Linked DNA regions of Lonchura striata. The protein of the gene in region 2 interacts with the protein of the main gene of each other region in a pairwise test. Links are inferred from orthologs where the notes say so. Each region holds a gene or a part of one and is shown on either strand. Other genes may lie near its edges.

Region 1 (10,230 bases), on a different chromosome or scaffold from region 2:
GAGGCAAAAATTCCTCTCTCTAATCTGCAGGTTGGTCTATCTACAAAACACTTTAAATGAAAGTTATTCTTATTTATCCTTGTAACAACAGAAACTGAAAATTTCCAATGCTTTTTTGTATAAATACTGCTGGCTTTATGATGTAAAATGGATCCTGTCTGGTTAACATAAAATTCATTTTATATTCCTATGTCTTGATGTGACTGTGTTCACTACCAGGAGCTAACTTGCTGACATAGAGGTAATACTGGTATTCTGGCTGTTTGTTTTTCAGTGAATATGTCCATAATTATTTCAAAAGGAAAAACTTGTTTTTTCCATTCCTATACTTATTACTCCTCAAGTTTATTTTAGAAGACAGAATGTAACAAATTTCCTTAATCCTTGCCTCTGTGGGAGGCAGAGAGGGCATGATAGGCTTTGTAGGTTTCAGCTTCTTTCAAAGCCATTGCGTTTTTCTTCTGTCAGTGGTCTCCCTCTTTTCCCGTCAGGGTCTTTCTTTCATTAGGTCATGTTGTGGACACCAGAATTCTGACTTGCTTGGGAGCTATGACTCATCCTCAGAAGGTCTGGTTGCTTTGGGGACTTCTCCTGTTGACATACGCAATAAACTGTGATGCAGTGCTGTTCATGAGCTCTGGCATTCCCTGTCTACTCAGCTGCTCCTCCATGGTAGAAGAAAAAAGAATTGCTCTCTCCTTTTTAAAATAATCCGTTTTAAAGGCAGTTTTGTACAGTTAGGTACACAGATGATTTTTTCTAAACAAATAACAATTTTATGCCTTTTAATTGTTGTGCGACTCCTTAAAGATACAGGCTACTGTGATAATTCTTAGCATGGATCCAGAAATATGACCATGGCTTGTCATATTCAGCACCTTCAAACTCCGTTGAAACATGGAATTTGAATTTACTTATGACCTTGTTAAATTGTATGCACATAGCATGAATAATTTTACAGATACACATTAAGGATCCAGAGTTCATCCTCTTGATTCTCTGGAAACAATATAGTATTTTTCTTTTTCAATAACAGGTCTTCATTACAACAAACATGGTGAATTGCACACACTGGCACTGCTGGCCACTAAGCAAGCCAGTTAGTGGTTTGGTCACCCACTATAACTGGGCAGCTCCCGTTTTTCTTAGGGTCTGACAAACCCAGATGACAGCATCCTCAGTTTTCACACTGCAGTGGTGTATTCCTCTCTCCATCTTTCCAGGCTGCATGCAGTGTGATCTGAGAAATGCTTGTTAGGCCTTGGCTTTGGAAACACCACCTGGGCTCAGCTCTTTTCAAGCTTATCAGAAACACTGTCTGCTCCCAGGAATTGCTAACAAGCTGCTGTTTTCCTTATGACCACCCTTGGAAAATATTCCACCTACCTGAATGGCACAACATTCCTGTTTCCACACTTATGGAGAAAGTGAGGACACAAACCCTGAACAGGATGAAACATTGTTATGACAAAAGCCTATAGGCTCTTGCAAGCCTCTAAACAGCAGTCCAAAATGGGACCCTTTGAGGTCTCCTGGACTGCAGCAAGCTACAAACAGCAACCTCCCTCTGAGCGAGATGCCTCTCAGAGCCTCATGTATGGAGGATCACTGAAACAAGCTGTATCCTGGGCCAATATGCACGCTCCTCAAGGCCCAATCCTTTGCCCATTGGGAGATGCAAGAGCATCCAAAGTGAGTATTTGATTGATCTCTGGGGGGAATTTTTCACAGGCACCTTGCTTGCACTGACTCCTCATGTCCTTGTGCATGCCTCTGTGCATATGCTGTAGCAAATCAAAGAAATACTGCTTTCTTAGCTGTCTAAGTACCTTGGTTATCTAAGTAAGTTAGGCAAGTGAGGAAGGTTATGTTAAAAACTCACTTAAATGCTGTTAAGTATTGTTCTTTTGCTAAATTGTTAAACATAAGTTATAAGCTACGTGTTGCTAAGAGTTGTTCTTCTGATGAGTTGCTAACTTCAAAATTATGAATTAGGTTAAATGCTCTTCAGTGTTATTCTCAGTAAATTGCTACAGTTAGGTTAAGTTGTAAATTAAATTTAAGCTATAAAATAGGTATAAGTTAAGTGTTCTTCCTATGTTAAATTGTTAGGCTTAAGGTATAAGTAAAATTGGAGTGCTGTTAAGCTTTCAGGCCCTGTTCCTTTTTATCCTTGCCCACGCTATCTTTTGTCACACACACACCTAAGGGAGCACACACCCCTATATAGTTCTCAGTTCATTACTGTTTTGATTGCCTGGATTTTGTTTGGTTTTCTTGTTGCTTGTTTTCCCTTGTTGTGCCTTGGCTGTCCTATGAGTAGTAGAGTTAGTCTTGCCAATGAATTTTTCGTGCTTTGCCACTTAATATTAAATCTGATTTTTCGTCATATCCTTGCCGATGACTTTTTAACTGATCTCAAACACTCTCGTTCATAACACAAGGATTGTACAAATTTGTCTGTATAAATTCTTTTTCTACAAGAAAAGCAATCTCTGTGATATTTCTGACCAAAGTGACTTCAAGCAAAAATCTCCATCGACCCTGACTTGTCAAAACAGTCAAACTGATTTATAAACCCAAACAAAAAAAATCTAGGCAAGGGCACAGTTAGATTTTGCTTAGCTTGCTTATCATCTTTTGAAGGAAGGGAAAACACCAAAGAGAACAAAACAGAACAAGGACATGAATCCAACCGCCACTAGAATCTCTTGATTTTGCACCCGCCAGGCTTAGAGAGGGCGATCTGGTTTGTGACATCTCCCCGCCCTGCCTCTCTGCGTGCCTTGGGGAAGGAAAATCCTTCCGACGGTGTTACACAAGGTCACGCAACTCATCCCCCCGCTCCCCGGGCGGGACGTCCCGGCTGCAGAGCTGGCTGCCGGCACACACCGCGGGCACACACCGCGGGCACACACCGCGGGCACACACCGCGGGCACACACCGCGGGCACACACGCACCGCGGGCACACACCGCGGGCACACACCGCGGGCACACACGCACCGCGGGCCCCGCCCGGCTGCGGCGAGCCCAGCCCGGAGCGGCCCCGCGGGACAGCGCGGCCAGCCCGAGACGCGGCCGGCCCCGCTCCGCACCGCAGCGAAGAGCTCCGCAGGGCTGCCCTGGCCGCTGCACGCCTCTCTCATGCCCACTCCGCCTTTTCTTTAAAAAAAACCCCAAACCAAACAAAATCCGATCAGCCCCTAGCCCGTTCCCTCCTGTAGCAGGTGGAGGGATGTGGTCCGCGGGCTTCAGCCGTCCTGACAGTTCCCGCGTATCCTGCCTCGGCAGGACTTGGTATCGACCCCCGCGACACCCCGCCTCGCCCCCTCACCTTAACCACGTCGTCGTTGAGGTGCTTGGGGTCTCGGTTGACCAGGTCGATCTCTTTGGTGTGCACATCGTGCACCGCCTTTTCGCTCAGCTCATCTGCCATCATCTTGTTGTTGGGCTTGTAGATGTTGCCCTGCTCCCGGACGGGCGCAGTGTACAGAAAACCCTGCGGAGAGCAGAGGGAGCGCGGGCAGGAGGGGAGAGCCCAGTGAGGCGGGGAGAGGCGGGGAGGGGCGGGGAGGGCAGGGCAGGGCAGGGCCGCTCCGGTCCGCGCAGGAGGGCGGGCTGGGGAGGCGGCCCCGGGTCCCGCGGGCTCCGGGCTGCGGGGCGGCCTCGGCCGGCTATTTAACCGCGGCCGCGGGCGCACACCACACCCCCGCCGTGCCAGGCGCCGGCTCCCGCTCCCGCCGCCAGGCGGCCCCGGCCCCGCGGCGTTGCCCCGGGACGGAGCGAGTGGCCCCTCGCTGGGGTGGGCGCTGGCGTGGCCCCGCGGGCACGGCAGGGAGCGTCCGGGGCTCGCCGCACAGCGCCCTCCCCGTACTGCCCTCGCCCTACCGCCCATGCTGTGCTGACCTGGGCACGGCGCCTGTACCACCCTGACCTCACTATACTTGCCCCTCTCTCTATACCGCCCTTCATTCAGGGCCATCACCGTACCCTCTCCATCCCAGTGCTCTCGCTGTAGAGCTCTCCATACACCGCTCTTCCCGCACGACACCCAGCAGCTCCCCTCCCCGCGCCCCGCCGGGGACGAGCGCCCCGGCTTCCCCTGACCCGCCGCCCCGGCCCGCAGGTGCCCGGCCGTCCGCCCTCCTGCCGCCGAGCCACCCCTCGCCCCGCTGCTCCGATGGGTCAGGGAGCCTGGGGTCCGAGCCGCTGCAGGCAGTCGGCGGCGGGGCAGCATCCTAGCCCCATGGTCCGGTGGTCCTACCTCCGAGTCTACGTATTTGGTGCCGGACATGCTGCCGCGGGCTGCTGACGGCTCTGCCGCGAGTTACTCTGCCCTGTGACTTGTAGGACCGGAGGCAGGACGATTCCGCTGTGCGGAGCGACCGGCCGGGGGAGGTAGCTGCGAGGAGAGGGCTGGCCGCTGGCCAGGGCGGTCCCGGCCTCCGGCCGGGCTGGATGACAGCGGCGGTACGGCCCCGCACACGGCGGGCGGCCGGGAGCCGCCGGGGTGGGAGGGGAAAACAGCCCTGCCCCGGCAACCTGGGATCGGGCGGACCCAGGTCCGTGCGGAGACAGGGACTCGACGGGGAGAGGGACACGGTCTCCTCCGCGAAGTCCGCCCTGGTCCGGCTGCCCACGACCCCCACCCCCGTCAGTGGGACGCGACAGTGGCTGCGTGCGGCAGAGCCACCTGGGCAAGATGGGGGGGTGGAGGGGGTGGGGCAAGGAAGCAGTGAGGAAATGGAAAACTTTAATTGTGTTCAGCATCCAGAGCGAGCGAGGTGTTTGCCGGGCTCCCCTCTGCCGGCTTTGACAATAGTTTACACAGAAGCATCGCTGCTGTAGGAACAATTGTGAAAACTTGGATATACCTGGGATGAAGAAATAGAGATTTTTCTCAATTGGTTCATTTCAAAACTATTCAAATATTTAACACTTCTGCACGTTAACACTGCTCTATTTTTCCCGGGAAGAGATTGATCCATGCATGTCTGCCATGCACATTAACCACTGGGATTAACTTTTAAAGGGGAACAGTGTGACACCATTTTGCCATGCTCTGTTCTCAAGGCTTTTTGTAAGCTCAGGGGCATATGTAGATGTACATGGTATAAATATAAACATTCATCACCGTATTCAAGATGGCTAAGGTTAGTGTCGCAGCATTACTTTACATTTAAAAAATGAATTATATTTCATTTTTTTTGTGTGAATGTGTTTGCAGCTAATAGTGTTGTGTTAGGAAATCAGACTATGGTGAAAGATTTATAACATTAACAGAAAAATTGTGACCTTAGTGTTATGCCATTTAGCACAGAATTGCAGCAGAAAATTCCTAACTGCAGTATATTTGGCTTTGGCGCTTCAACAGAGAAATGACCTCGAAGAAGCCCCTGGCTAAGATGGATTTAGGTGCCACAGATGTAAATAACTGCACCTGTTGGAAATGCAGTCCACATGGACATGTGTTGCTGATACATTGGTAAGCAGTCAACTTTCCTTTATATTGCTTGTAAACTTTGGAACAAATGCCTTGGATGGAAGATTTCCAACTTTCCAAGTTAGTTGTAATTTTTAAAAGTAACTTTTTATTGATGCAATAATTCACTTAAGCCATTGTTAGAATATTTTTGCCTGTCCAAGCTTTTTAGCGTGAATATGCACCCAAATGAGTGTATTAAAGGACACAGACCCTGCAATTTTTCCATCCATCTGAAAAAAAAATTGCAAGACAGTTCTTTGTTTTCATATCCAGGAAATTTTTCAATTAGTCACTGTCTTCCATATGAATCAGAACATTTTGATCCATCATTTAATATGACTCTATATCTCAAGAATGACTTTAAAGAAAGAGAAATAAGAGAGATACTTGTCAATTTGAAATGCTGAATTGATCCTGGAATAGTTTTTCAGAACCACAGTCCCCTTTAAAAAATATTTCTGAATCACACAACACTACTGCAGCTAGAATAATATCATAAACTAGTGGAATTTGTAAGTTTTATGAGATGAATTCCAGAATAGGCTGCATACAAAGTGAAATGAACATTAGCAGTGCTTTCTGGAGCTGGAATATCAAGAGGATAGGCTATTTAGAAAAAGGTATGGGTACTACTAAGCAGTAAGAGTGAGCAAGTTACATCTGCAGAGATGGAAAGGGATGAAGCCATGGCCTGTTGCCTCTAGCACTGCTGCATGAGAAATACACACTAACTCAACAGCCAGAGACCTGTGGCATGGATGCACACAGGTACAACCAACTCCTATGGCATGAATGCACACAGGAGTTCTGCAAGGATCCCCTGTTACACTCAGAGGAAGAGTAATAGCTCAATGGGAAAGAGCCTTGCAGAAATGTTCTGAAAGTGCAAAGGCTCCATTCCCCTTCTCAGTTACTATGAATAGATTATCCAGGGGTGGCCAGAAATTACCAGAAATTGTAAACACTCAAACTGGCCTTTGAAACACCAGCCAGTCTTCTCATGGAGCTTTGCTGTGTCTTTAGTAGTCCAGGTCAATTGCTAAGCAGGACTACATGACACCTTGGTTGGCCACCTCACTGCCTTTCTTCATCACGCCAGCCTTACGCATTTCATACCTATTTTAAAGAAATTTTTATTGCTTCAAAACCTTTTTACTGAAATTTCAAACCTCAGGATTACCTTAGTTAAAAACTTGCTCTAAACCTGGAGCAATGTGCAATTTATGATTTTTTTTTTTCCACTTTGAGGGGAGAAAAAGTTTTGTTACGGGTAGTATTCCCAGAAACCAGTGGGGGAAAAAAAAAGGATTTAACAAAACCCCTCAAAAACTGGCAGAAAATTAGTTATGAAACTGACTTGAATGTGGATGACTGCTCACTGTCTTTGTCAGGTAACAAACACTCCTTCTTTCTCCATTCCTCACCCCCCTTTTTGTTTTAAGCTTGTGTAGTTATTCCAGTTATGGTATTAGCAACACTCCTGATATATTCCAATGTCAGCAAGATCGAAATCAACCCTGGGAAACTGTTTCCTTTATGTATAGTTTCAACACCAACAAGGCTGTCAGGTAACAGAGGCAGTCCATGAGCAGCCTGCCTTACGCAGAGCACTTAAAAACCTGAGGCTTAGGAGTGAAAGATCATTGCTTGTGTGTCTTCTGTTCAACTCTTAACCACATCATTTTATGTATGGTTTTGTATGTTTTGCTGGATAAAAGCCTTAGCTGCCAAAACTGTTGGTACTGAGTTTTTAGCAGTCTTGCTACTGTTTTCACCCTGTTGTGCATGATAACAAGCATTAGGATAGGATTAGCATGCAGGCCAATGTTTTCCTCATTCCATTATTTAAAGACTTGTAGTCCTAGAGGATTCATGGTGGTCATGCCGCCCCCACTCTCTGGAGGGGTTCTGTATTTTAAAATGTAAATCACTGGATCAGAATTTTCCTATAGAGACAGGTTCCCCTCACCCTAGTATACAGGGCTGCAGGTTCACGTACACATTTGGTATTTGGCCTGTTTGTGCCATTAATCCAAGGATTAGTTATAGCTGGAGAGATGGGTAGCTCTTCTCACATTCCTTCTGTCTCACAACTTCTAGATAGGAGTGATTTCATTTTATGTGCAAGTGATGCTGCCACAAAGCATTTCACAATAGCCTAAGGGCTAGAAGACTCAAGCCAACACCTGAGAAACCTGAAATCAATTTTTGCCTGAGGCATGCCACTGCATTTGGACTCACTCCTGGGAAACTGTATTTTGGGAAGTACCTTATTCTGCTGATACACAGTTAAGTATATTTTGAGGAGTCTAAGGCCCCCCTTTTGGGGTTCTGACTGGGCTTAGATGAGAAAGATGCCAAGTTGCTCAAATAAGGGCAGTTCTGGGCATGACAAAAGTAAAACTGTAGGCATTGTGGGGGGTTATGGGAAAGGGAGGTGCCTTTTGAGTTCAGACATGTTCCTGGTGGGTGGCAGCTGGGCAGGGATTACAGTTTTGGATCAAAATGCATGGCTTTTTCTGCTCTCAGTCTTTTATTAGAGCTAGCCCCTGTAGGTCTTTATCAAGATAGCTTGTAACTGCCTTGACTGGAGAGGCAAATAGATAGAAAGCTTTATTTCTGCAAGACTGTAAAACTTAGTCACTCATTCTCAACCCTTTTCAGTATCAAATACCTTGAAAACTGAGCTGGTCTGTGAACAGTGGTCTATGTCAATGCTGGTCTGTACCTTTCTTCTAGTTCTACAGTATTATTAAATGTTCATGTGTTTTATAGAAAATGTCAGACTATGAGAACTTGTCTCATTAATGGGACTTAACTACCCACTCCTTAAGGCTTATGTAGGATGGGCTTTTTGTCACTGCTTCTCTGCTTCTCTACCTAAGCATTGCCTGGGCAAAACCCTAGCTGATAAAGTTGTGATAGCTCTAATACTGTAAAATAAAAAAGCAAAATCAGGTACATAGGGTGAAAAGGCAGGTCTTACTGAGCTGAGACTGTTGGAAAAATAGACAAGCTTTCCTCAAGGTTTTAAATAAAAGTGAATCTCTATATTTTATCCCATCTGAGTGTCTTAAGTAGGGTCTGAATCAGTGCTATATGAAGGAGTCCTTCTTTCTCCCACTTGCAATTGGAAGGGAAGGCAATACAACAGCCAAAACCGAACACCTAACACACATGACACTCACCCCTGGCATCAAGTTGTGAGAGAAGTGCGCAGAGAAGAATCTGCTTCACTATTTTATGAAACTCTAGTTGCTTCCATTGGCCTTGCCAATTTCTGCAGCAAATACAACTTTTTATGTAGCACACCAAAGAAGCCAAGCCAAGCCAAGCCCAGCCCTGCCCAACATTTTGCATTAATCAGTACAGACTCTTTTCTCTGGAGGATGATTCAAAGCAGGAACCTATCTTAGCTCCTCTGAACTGCCCCTCAGAAGATGTTTTCCTTTTGTTACAATAAGCTTAGGAAGATTAGTGTAACCAAGATATGGTTAGCCTTTATTAATTAGCCTAATTTGTCAATCCCTGCATGAAGAAAGTACCTCCAATTTTAATGCCTAACTGCTGGTTCAGAATCTCTGACCCAGCAGTTCAACTCTAATTTTCACCATCACAGACAACAGACAACACTGGTAAAGTGTCTGGTGTTTGACCTTGTTCCATTTGCATTTTTATTAAAAAAAAAACCCAAACAGATGTAGTTTTCCATGTTTTTTTAAAAGAGTTAATAACAGCAATAGTTTTATCTCTGCAGGTGGGGAAATGATCACACCCTGTAAAAATAAAGGACTTATCATTCTTTGGCTTCTACTTTATAAGAGTGTGTGGTCTGAGGTCCCAGAGCTGCAGGGATGTTCTGAACTTTTTAGTCAGTGAATGCTTAAGTGAACTTTTTGGAAAGGTGGGAACAGACTCCTCATTTACTAATACATGAAAGTTTCTGTTAAGAATTTGTTTCAATTTATACAATGGACTACCAGGGTGGTGAAATATAAGATACAAATATAGAAGTTCCAGAATCAGATTAGGAGCATTTTAGGAAACAGCTCTCATAAGTAAGCAGGTTAAACTTCTCCATTAATTTAAATTAAGAAATCCATAAACACAAATCCAGGGTGAGCTCTGTATGTTAGTTGTGATCTTCATGAAAAACAAGATGCTGAAATATTTTGTAAGTCAGAACTGAGTTTCCAGCTCATGGTTGTAGACCTAAGGTCTGCAGTAACAAGAGACAGGCTGAAATAAAAACACCTCACACTTATTATTTGTAATGCCTCTACCATCATGCTGGAAAATCTACTCTTGTTACATTTTCCCCATTCCACAGACATGAAGATTCATCACAGTAATCTGAACCTAGTGTAAATTTTCTTACATTTGTTGCAGACAATGAGACTCAGTTTCTGGACTCTCTTGCCTAAATTCTCATTTGTAAGTTGCTTTTAAGGGATCAGCTGGGACGGTTTGTCCACATTTCAAACAAATTGGAGACAAACCTGCTCCCACATCTTAGAACACAATTCAGAGCTAGTTCCCATTCAGTCCCTGTTGTCCAACAGCACTGTGAGGTATTCACAGTATATGCTGTGCCAGACCTTCAGGATATATGTCAGAACCATAAAATCCTGAGAATGCTTGCCAGCCAGAGTTGCCTGGGGCAGACTCACACCTGAGTATTGGAGAGTCTGTAAATATTACTACTTTCTTCCACTCCTTTTACAGACAAAGTATTTGCCAAGCA
Region 2 (9,314 bases):
GTGCTACCTCAGAGGAATTTGGCTTTTTTGAATGCAAAATCCTGCAAAACTGAGCAGAGTTGGAGCCAAAGCTCTTGAGGCCAAGCTGCTTTTGGCCTGTCAGTCTGGCAGGGGCTGGATGGGAGCACTAAACCACTGAAAACACCTTTTTAGCACAGAAATGAAGCAATCCAGCTGCAGAGAAGCAGCAGGGTTTTCCTCCTCCCACAGCACTAAAAAGCAAATACAATCAGAGGAGCTCTAGGATGTGATCCCACTTTATCTAACATGTATAAAAATACCCGAGAGCGGCAGGAGAAGCTGGAGAATAAAAGTAAGCAGTGGAAAGCATGGGGTTTGCCCAAAAAAACCCCAACACTATGACTCCATTGAACTCTCCCCTGTGCAGAACTCACCTGATCCCATCAGATGTCCCATAGCCCCTGGCATACACGTGAAGATGAAGCCGGTGATTTGTGATTTTTCCCAGCGACATTTTTGGTTATTTTGCAATCCTGTTTTTTACTGTCCCCCTTGTTTCACAAAGCTGCCGAGGCTCTCCGGCCAAGCTTGGTGCCTGTTCCCACTGGGTTTGGGGTCGTTCTCGGTGGAGCAGGATGAACCTCCATCCCCAGATTTCACTGCCAAGGTGAGGGACAGGTGGATTTTTTATTGCCTGTGGACGCTTTGTTGGGCACACAGGAGGAGCAGTGGGACAGGAACCAGGAAGGGGGTGCAGGAGCCACGATGTCCCGTGGGATGGAGGAGCTGGAACCATCTGGAAAGGCTTTTTGCGGGAAGAGCAAGGACCAAGGGGGATGGGAGAAGGGATGCCATGACAACCTCTGGGGGTTTCCCAGGAAACCATGGTCACCATGGCAACTGCATCACTCCGTCGGAATTAGTGACTTCCGCTGGAAGGCGTGTTCGCCACTTTAATCTTCTGGCGATAAGCGGCTGCGTCTCCTCCAAAGGCATTGCAAAATGAGGAGGAAATATCCCTTTGTCTGCGGCTGGGTGGGTTGGAGGCTCCCAGCCATAGCAAGGAGCCCGTCCTGGATCCTGCTCCGTGCCGACATCGCTCCGTGCGCCGGCGGCTCCCGAAAACATTCCAGTCTGCCTCTCCTCTCCCTCCTCCTGTACTCATCCCTGCTGCATGGCCACAGACTTGACATCGGAGGAAATAACTCCATCAGGTTACAGGGGAAGGGAATCCAGAATAGAAAACGAAGGCTTAGGGAATTTTTTTCTATTTAAATCAGCATTGATTGCACTCAGTCTCTGACCAGATTAGAATTTCATAAATGATCTAATGGGGAGAAAAAGGGAATCTGGGATGTGCCCGTAATGGCACATCACATGTTTCAATATTAAGCATCATTTAACGATGTGGTAACAGAGACTCTCTGCAGAATTAAATTATTATTTCCTCCCAGCCCCCTCCCAGTACACTCTGCCTCATTTTTCCCTCGTTCCTCCACCCAGTCCGAGTTTGTTAATCCAATAAGTTACTTGATGTGATGGAAGGGAGATTGGCTACACATTGCCCTTAGGGAAAGAGGGAGAAATTCAGGAGCAAAGGAAGAGGTTCTCCGTAAGCCCAAAAAGCAAAGCAGCTCTGCAACACGTTGCAGAAAAAACACCTGTTTTGACAGTGAGTGTGGTTTTTCTTCATCTTCCTTCTCTTTATCCTTTAGCTGTCCTCTTTTTCAGAGAATTTTAAATCCTTTTACTTTTGGATCTTTAGAAAGGAAGGATCTAAAAAAATAAAGGTATAAAAACGAGGGCACACACAGGACCGACGATGGTGCATGTTCCACACAACACCGACACACAGTCACTTTGCATTATTATTGGTATTATTATTGGTATTGTTGTACCGCATCCTCAGATTTCGTCACTGTTCGTTTGGTTTGGGTTTGTTTTAAACATCCGTAAAGATCTTTTTGATGTTCACACAGTTGGGATTGTTTGTGGTTGTGCAGTTGCCTGCTTTAAAGGCAGCCTGTTTGAATGCACTGTGATTGACCCCCCCTTCCTCAATCACCATGTACTCGGACTTGCTGAGGGTGGAATTGCTGCGAGCCTTCTTCATCTCCTCGCTGGACGAGAGGTGCTGGCAGCTCCCGACATGCATGTACTGGGCTTGTTCCTCACCTTCTGTCTCCCGGTGGTAGAAATAGTTGAAATTGGAGACGATGACGGGCACGGGCAGGGCGATGGTCAGCACCCCCGCGATGGCGCACAGAGACCCCACGATCTTGCCCCCAATGGTGATGGGGTGCATGTCCCCGTAGCCCACGGTGGTCATGGTGACCACAGCCCACCAGAAGGCATCAGGGATGCTACTGAACCCCGAGCTGGGGTCATCGGCTTCCGCGAAGTAAACGGCGCTGGAGAAGAGGATGACGCCGATGAAGAGGAAGAAGATGAGCAAACCCAGCTCCCTCATGCTGGCCTTGAGGGTCTGCCCCAGGATTTGCAGCCCCTTGGAGTGCCGGGAGAGCTTGAAGATGCGGAAGACCCTGACGAGGCGGATGACTCTGAGGATGGCCAAGGACATGGCTTGCTGGCCATTGCCTTGCCGCTCAGCCAGCTCCGTGCCCAGCGTGATGAAGTAGGGGATGATGGCCACAATGTCAATGATGTTCATGATGTTCTTGGAGAAAGTGGCCTTGCTGGGGCAGGCAAAGAAACGGACCAGCAGCTCAAAGGAGAACCAGATGATGCACAAAGTCTCCACCACAAAGAAAGGGTCGGTGAAGGATGACACCATGGAAGCAGGTGAGGATGTGGAGTTGGTGAAGACATCAGGTGGGAGAGGGCCGCTGCCTGTCCCGAAGGTCCCCCCAGTTCCCTCATAGTCATGGTCATCCCTGAATTCAGGCAGGGTCTCCAGACAGAAGATGACAATAGAGATAAGGATGACCAGGACAGAGACAATGGCAATGCCTCGGGCCGGCCCAGAGCTCTCGGGGTACTCGAAGAGGAGCCACACCTGGCGCTGAAACTCCTTCTCGGGAAGCGGCCGCTGCTCCTCCCGAATGAAACCCTCGTCCTCCCGAAACTTCTCCATGGCCTCCTCCCCCAGCTGGTAGAAGCGGATCTCCTCGGAGAAGATGTCGATGGGGACATTGACGGGACGCCGGATGCGCCCGCCCGACTGGTAGTAGTAGAGGATGGCGTCGAAGCTGGGACGGTTACGATCGAAAAAATACTCATTGCGGAGGGGGTCGAAGTAGCGCATCCTCTTCCGGGGGTCCCCCAGCAGCGTCTCGGGGAACTGTGCCAGGGTCTTGAGCTGGGTCTCGAAGCGCAGCCCCGAGATGTTGATCACCACGCGCTCGCAGCACTCGTGCTCCGCAGCGCCCGCGGGCTGCCCGGCGGGCACGGCCGGCGCCGGGGGCTGATCGTAGCGCTCCCCCCCGAGCGGCGCGGGAGGATGCTGCGGCTCCTCCAGCAAAGGGTCGCCGCCGCCGCCGCCTCCCACCACGGTCATGCTGCCTTCCTCCCCTTCTTCGCCCTCTTCCTCCTGCTGCTCGGGGCCCGGCTGGGGGGCGGCGGGGGGCTCGCTGTAGCCCAGGTTGTGGTGGCTGCTGGTCGAGCCGCCCCGCGGCTGCCGGCCGGCGGAGGAGGCGGCCGGAGAGTACAGCAAGCTCCGGCGCTCGTCCATAAAGGTGTGGGGCGGAAGGGGAAGGGGGGGAGGGGGGATCCGAGAGGCGGCAGCTGAAGCCTCTTCTTCCTCCTCTTCCTCCTCCTCCGGGCGGAGAGGGAGCAACAGCCGCCCAACTCCTCCAGCGGCTGCCGCTGCTCTGAAGAGCTGAGGCTCTTCTCAAAAAATCCGCCCCCAGCCCTGGCACCGCCTCACTCGGTCACCGCTCCCGGAGACACCCACCAGCCCCCCGGCCCTGCCCCGCAGCCCCCCGCCAGCTGCGGGCATCCCCTCCCACGCCCCTGCTTGGGGGAGCCCCATCCATCCCCCAGGCAGCGCCGAGGGGCTTCCGTCTCCTCTCGGGAGCATCCTTTGCTGCTCAGCGGGCTGCAAGCAGGAAGAGGGGTTTTTCCTGCCAGAACTGCTGCCTAGAAAGAGTTCTTCTGCCCTTCCCCAGGTGAAATGCAATTTTGACTCTGAATTTTCGCGTTTGCCTGTCGGTTTTCAGCTACGGTTTCACACGGTGGGAGGCTGTGGGCAGTGCAAAGCCGGTAGCGTGGCCAGACCCAACAGTTGTTTTGAATCAGCGTCTGGGTTGGGCTGGGGATTGTTTTTCTCTGTCTAGGAGAGCATGTGCATGTGTGTGTGTCCATGAGTGTGGGTGCACACGTGTGTGTGTGCGTGTGCTTCCCCCACCAAAATAAACCCAGAAGCAGAGCCAGCCCTCTACCAAGGAGGCTTCAGGCTGAACCCAAACCTGCATTTCAGACTTTCCATCAAGAAAGCCAAACCCCTTCTACTTCTTTTTCTTTCTTTCTCTCTTCAGTTGATCTTTTAAAGCAAATATTCAATTGTGAGCAAAAGGGACTTTTCAGGCAAAAACCTCCTCTGCAGGAGCCCTGAGCTGGAAAACACCCCATCCCCAGGAAACGTGCATGAGGGACACCCTCTGATCTCTGCACTCCCAGCTCTCCCCCAGCTCCCCATTTTTCCAACCCCCTGCAGTAACTGAAACACTTTAATGCCCAGCCATGTGCCAAGGGGGTTTAGGCAATTCAGGGAGCTCCTAGCTTGGGAAAAAGTAATGGAATGATTTGGGTTGAAAGGGACTTGAAAGCTCATCTCATTCCACGCCCCTGCCATGGGCACTCCTTGCACTGGACCAAGAGTTTGACCATGAGGAGAGGAGAGGAGAGGAGAGGAGAGGAGAGGAGAGGAGAGGAGAGGAGAGGAGAGGAGAGGAGAGGAGAGGAGAGGAGAGGAGAGGAGAGGAGAGGAGAGGAGAGGAGAGGAGAGGAGAGGAGAGGAGAGGAGAGGAGAGGAGAGGAGAGGAGAGGAGAGGAGAGGAGAGGAGAGGAGAGGAGAGGAGAGGAGAGGAGAGGAGAGGAGAGGAGAGGAGAGGAGAGGAGAGGAGAGGAGAGGAGAGGAGAGGAGAGGAGAGGAGAGGAGAGGAGAGGAGAGGAGAGGAGAGGAGAGGAGAGGAGAGGAGAGGAGAGGAGAGGAGAGGAGAGGAGAGGAGAGGAGAGGAGAGGAGAGGAGAGGAGAGGAGAGGAGAGGAGAGGAGAGGAGAGGAGAGGAGAGGAGAGGAGAGGAGAGGAGAGGAGAGGAGAGGAGAGGGCCTACATTCCCTTCCAGAGCCAGATGGGTGGTCCTGCCACGATGGAGATTAAAACCCCTCCACCATCCCCACTTGAGCTCATCATCCCAGTTATTTTTAACCAGCACAGCCTTCAGAAGGTAGGGGGAACAACAGATGAAAAGATCAAACTTATTTATACTTTAAATCAGAAACAAGCTGTCCAAAATACCCAAATCTGGGGAGGTAACAACAATAAATACTGGTGCAAGAGCTGATTTCAAGACCCTGAATGGCAGATGAACAGTGAGGATGGAGCCTGGCTGGGCTGAGCCCACTGACCTCTTTGCTGACAGGGGGGAAACACCCTCTGCCACAGAAACCCTGGAGAATTCCCGAGGGAATGAGTCCCAGCAAGGTGTGCATGGAAAGATGGATGGCCCCACACAAGGAGAATTGTCTCCAGGCCATGTCACCCCACCCCAGACTTGGACACAAGTCCCTTGTTGCTAGCTCCAGCCTTGGCTTTAAGCCCCAATTTTGACAGCTGCTTTTCTTGAGGGTGTGGATGTCCTGGGAGGAGGGAGTTGGGAGGTTGCTCCCCCACCATTCCTGCAGCAGGTCATGGTGCTAACCAGCACCATACTCGCAGGGAGAGCATCTCCTCCTCCCTCCCAACCCACAGCATCTCCCAGCCATCCCAAAACCCAGACAAGGCAGGAAGCAAAGCCCTGGAGCACCATTAACCCTTGAGCTCCCCTTGTTGCCTGTAGGTTGGGAAAAAATCCTGTAATCCTTCACACACAAGTCTGAGGCTTTATTTTCATGAAAATGAAATAACCATCATCCCTTCACCACATATATGTGTGTGGCGGCTAAAAACTTGTCTGGCTCATCCCTTTTCCCTGCTAGGATTTCTGCCAATAAATCAGTGTTGTCTGGTTTAAGGCAAACAAATGAGGCTGCCTCAAACCATAACCATTTATTGAAGACACAAGGTTCGAGGCACAAGGTGTAACTTCCATAATTGCAATAATTTACTCTGCATCTGTCAGGGGCAAACCCATCAGGAATTACCGAGAGAGCCACAGACCTTTGGGATACTGCTTGGAAAATCCTTTCCTTTAAGAGCATCAGGATTAAGCTGGTACCCCCCAGCTGCAGCACAGCAGCAGACATTAACCCCTGAGCTCCGGCGGCTTTGGTCGGGAGTCGAGCTGGGATTTCTCCCATCCCGCCGTGGCCTCCTGGCCCTGTTTACTCCTCCGCTGCTTCCCTGTAATCCTATCAAAGCCAATTAGGCTGTGCCAGGCGAGCAGCAGCGCTGCAGGCGGAGAGCAGCCGAGGGGCAGATCCTCCCCAGCCCTTCCCTCAGCTCCTGCTTTCCCCTGGCTCTCCAGCAGAGCTTTGGGGCAGCATCGGGGATGCAGCAAGGGCATCACCTCCCCTGTGAGCCCCCGCCAGCCTCACCCGCCTTCCCTGCAGGAGTTTGCATCCAGGAGCTGCACAAGCCCGGCATTTGTCAAGCAGAAATAGAGGTGGTCCTAGGCCAGGCTTCAAAACCTGGAGGTCTGAGCACAAGGGAAGGGGAATGAAAGCCCAGGGGAAGGGACATCTCCCTGGTGTCCAACCTGGCCAAAGCTTTCTCATAAGCTGGGAGCTCGATGCAGCACCAAAACATCTCCTCCAGGATGTGGTTTGCTGTCTAATGCGAGATGTCCCAGTGTTCCCTCTGCAAATTTCCTACTGCTTTTTCATCCATCTCTTCTGCTGCATCTGGTCTCAACAAATTTAATTTTGTTCCTAACGGCCATTTAAGAAATCCCCCTGTGCAATGGTCCACAGGCTGCCCTGGAACAGCACATGCAGTTTCTATGAGGAAGCAGAGCGAGCATTGCTTTTTTCCTCCCTTAATGGCCTTCTCAGGGCAGATTTCCAAGCAGAGGGGATGAACAACTTCCCTCTTTCCACAGCCAGACCCAGACCATGAGGGGAATTACCCCAGCATCCCCCTCCCGGGGGCACATGGGCTGCAGAAAACATGTGGGGCCTTCATCCCAGCTCTCAGTTATTCCCAGCCATGGGCTGCCTTGGCATCCTGCTTCCACCTTGAAATTTTCCTTCCTTCTTGGTGAATCCCAGTGCCTCTGAAGCAGCATTTTGGGTTGTCCTTTTCCCCCACAGAGCTCCCCATGGCAGCATCAGCAGCCAGGCAGTGTGTACAGAATCCAGCCTGGCTGTGAGCAGGATCTCACCCACCTTCCCCTCCCTCCCGTTTCAATGGGAACTCTTCTTCCATTGATAAATCTGGGACAAATCTGCTCATCTTTACTTTGCAGGATCAGAAACCTCTCAGCGCTCATGCAGTTACAGTAATACCTTAATGCACTGCAAATGCATTGTCAGTCCTCCCACAGCAAAGCCCCAACTGCTCCAGCCAGGCAGTGCAGCTTTAACTCACTCCAGGTTTCTCCTCTCGGGAACATGAGCCCTCCTGTGCTGCTCAGAATGGACAAATGTCCTCGAGAAAGGATTGAGGTTGTCACTCAGGTCACCAATCACAGGCAGGACTGCAGGGACTGCTGGCAGCAAACACAGTTCAGCATCAACCCAGACTTTTGAGATGAACTCGGAGCAATCACAGAATCACAGAATCATGGACTTGTTTAGGTTGGAAAAGCTCTCTAAGGTGATGGAGTCCAACTGTCCACCTAACTGCCAAGGCAAGCACTAGACCATGTCCCCAGGTGCCACATCTATGTGTCTTTTAAATCCCTCCAGGGATGGGGACTCCACCATTGCCATGGTGAGACTGTGATAGTGTCATATCTTGGGAAAGAAATTTCCCCTAATATCCAACCTAAACCTCACCAGCACAACTTGAGGCCATTTCCCCTTGTCCTGACTATCAGCAATCAGGGAATAAGTGGAACAATAAAACCTCTGGTTCCAGACTGGCCAGTCCTGCCGTCCTCACCTTCTCCCCTATGGAGACAGGAGGTGGGAGCATCCCCGCAGTCCGTGAGCTCACACCCTTCCAGAAGAACTGGGACACTATTCCCAGTGTACTCCCAGATGGGCTCATCTCATTCCCAGAAATCAGGGATCCTAGCTCATCTTCTCACTGAGCCACAAAAGCATCCAGTGAGGCTTCCCTCTCTGGGGTAAGACAAATTCTCCACCAACACTGTCCAGGGAGACAGTGGGAAGGATGGGAACTGAATCTTGATTTTCCGGGATGGATTTAGAACTCTAACTCTGGAGCACACCATTCCTATTCCTGTCGCTGTCTTAGTCAGACTCCAGGTATAGCTCAGCCGTGGAGTGAATCCTTCAATCCCTCCGTGCCTCAGTTTCTCAGCTGTGCTTTGAGGGAGTATTTCTCGCCTCCCACCTGGAGTTTATTTCAATCCTACACCAGAAGCTTTTCACTGCACTCCCAGTTGCGGAGTTTTTCCTCCTTTCTCAGTTGTGAAAGATACTGAAATATGGAAGAGGGAGGAAAATCCAGTGCTGTGTAACCCCTGCAGCTTGCTCAGCCCTAGGCACAGGTGGAAAGCATCACTGGGAGCTCGCCAGGGAAGTGAGGAGACGCCTCTCTCAGACAGGAATTTAAACCAGGCACACAGGACCCCAGGCACCCTGGGATCCTCTCCGACTGCTGGACGCCTTCAGAGAACAGGCTGGGGGAGGGAGGGGAAGTAAAAATTGAACTGGTACCCCAAGATGACTGAGCATGGACAGCAGCTATTGTTCATGGGTTGTTTCCCATAAAGCTGAGGATTGAGCAAGAGTATTTCTTGGGAAGTGAAGAACAAGTTCTAGTGGCTAAAAAAGATCAGTCAAATTACTTAGCATCACCATCATCCATCGGCTTTAATGGAGCTAAATCCCATCCAGCCTTTGGGGATCCAGGGGTTACAGCTCAGGATGGAGTTAGACCTATTTCAATATCCTAAAAATGTGATTAACAGGGTGGGATTATGATGGCCAAACAATGTTAATGCAAATTCCACTGGAATGAAGATCACATTCCAAGGCCTCCACAATGACAGCAAAACGATACCCAACGACTCCTGTTGCAGGGCATTATTTGGTCATTAAGGT

What was found. The genes of interacting proteins can lie anywhere in the genome.
Region 1: the proteins of potassium voltage-gated channel subfamily A member 3-like (region 2) and CAV1 come close enough for resonance energy transfer, tested with the Homo sapiens proteins (2 studies listed by BioGRID). The link is inferred for Lonchura striata from reciprocal best matches to the Homo sapiens genes KCNA3 and CAV1.

The regions. Positions count from the first base shown.
Region 1 is NC_134607.1:34,681,578-34,691,807, forward strand, and holds the start of CAV1 (caveolin-1), read right to left. Parts: upstream 4,420-10,230; 5' UTR 4,296-4,419; coding exon 4,266-4,295; intron 3,501-4,265; coding exon 3,336-3,500; intron 1-3,335. UniProt on the Homo sapiens protein: May act as a scaffolding protein within caveolar membranes. Forms a stable heterooligomeric complex with CAV2 that targets to lipid rafts and drives caveolae formation. Mediates the recruitment of CAVIN proteins (CAVIN1/2/3/4) to the caveolae.
Region 2 is NC_134632.1:1,508,750-1,518,063, forward strand, and holds the start of potassium voltage-gated channel subfamily A member 3-like, read right to left. Parts: upstream 3,653-9,314; coding exon 1,904-3,652; 3' UTR 396-1,903; intron 1-395.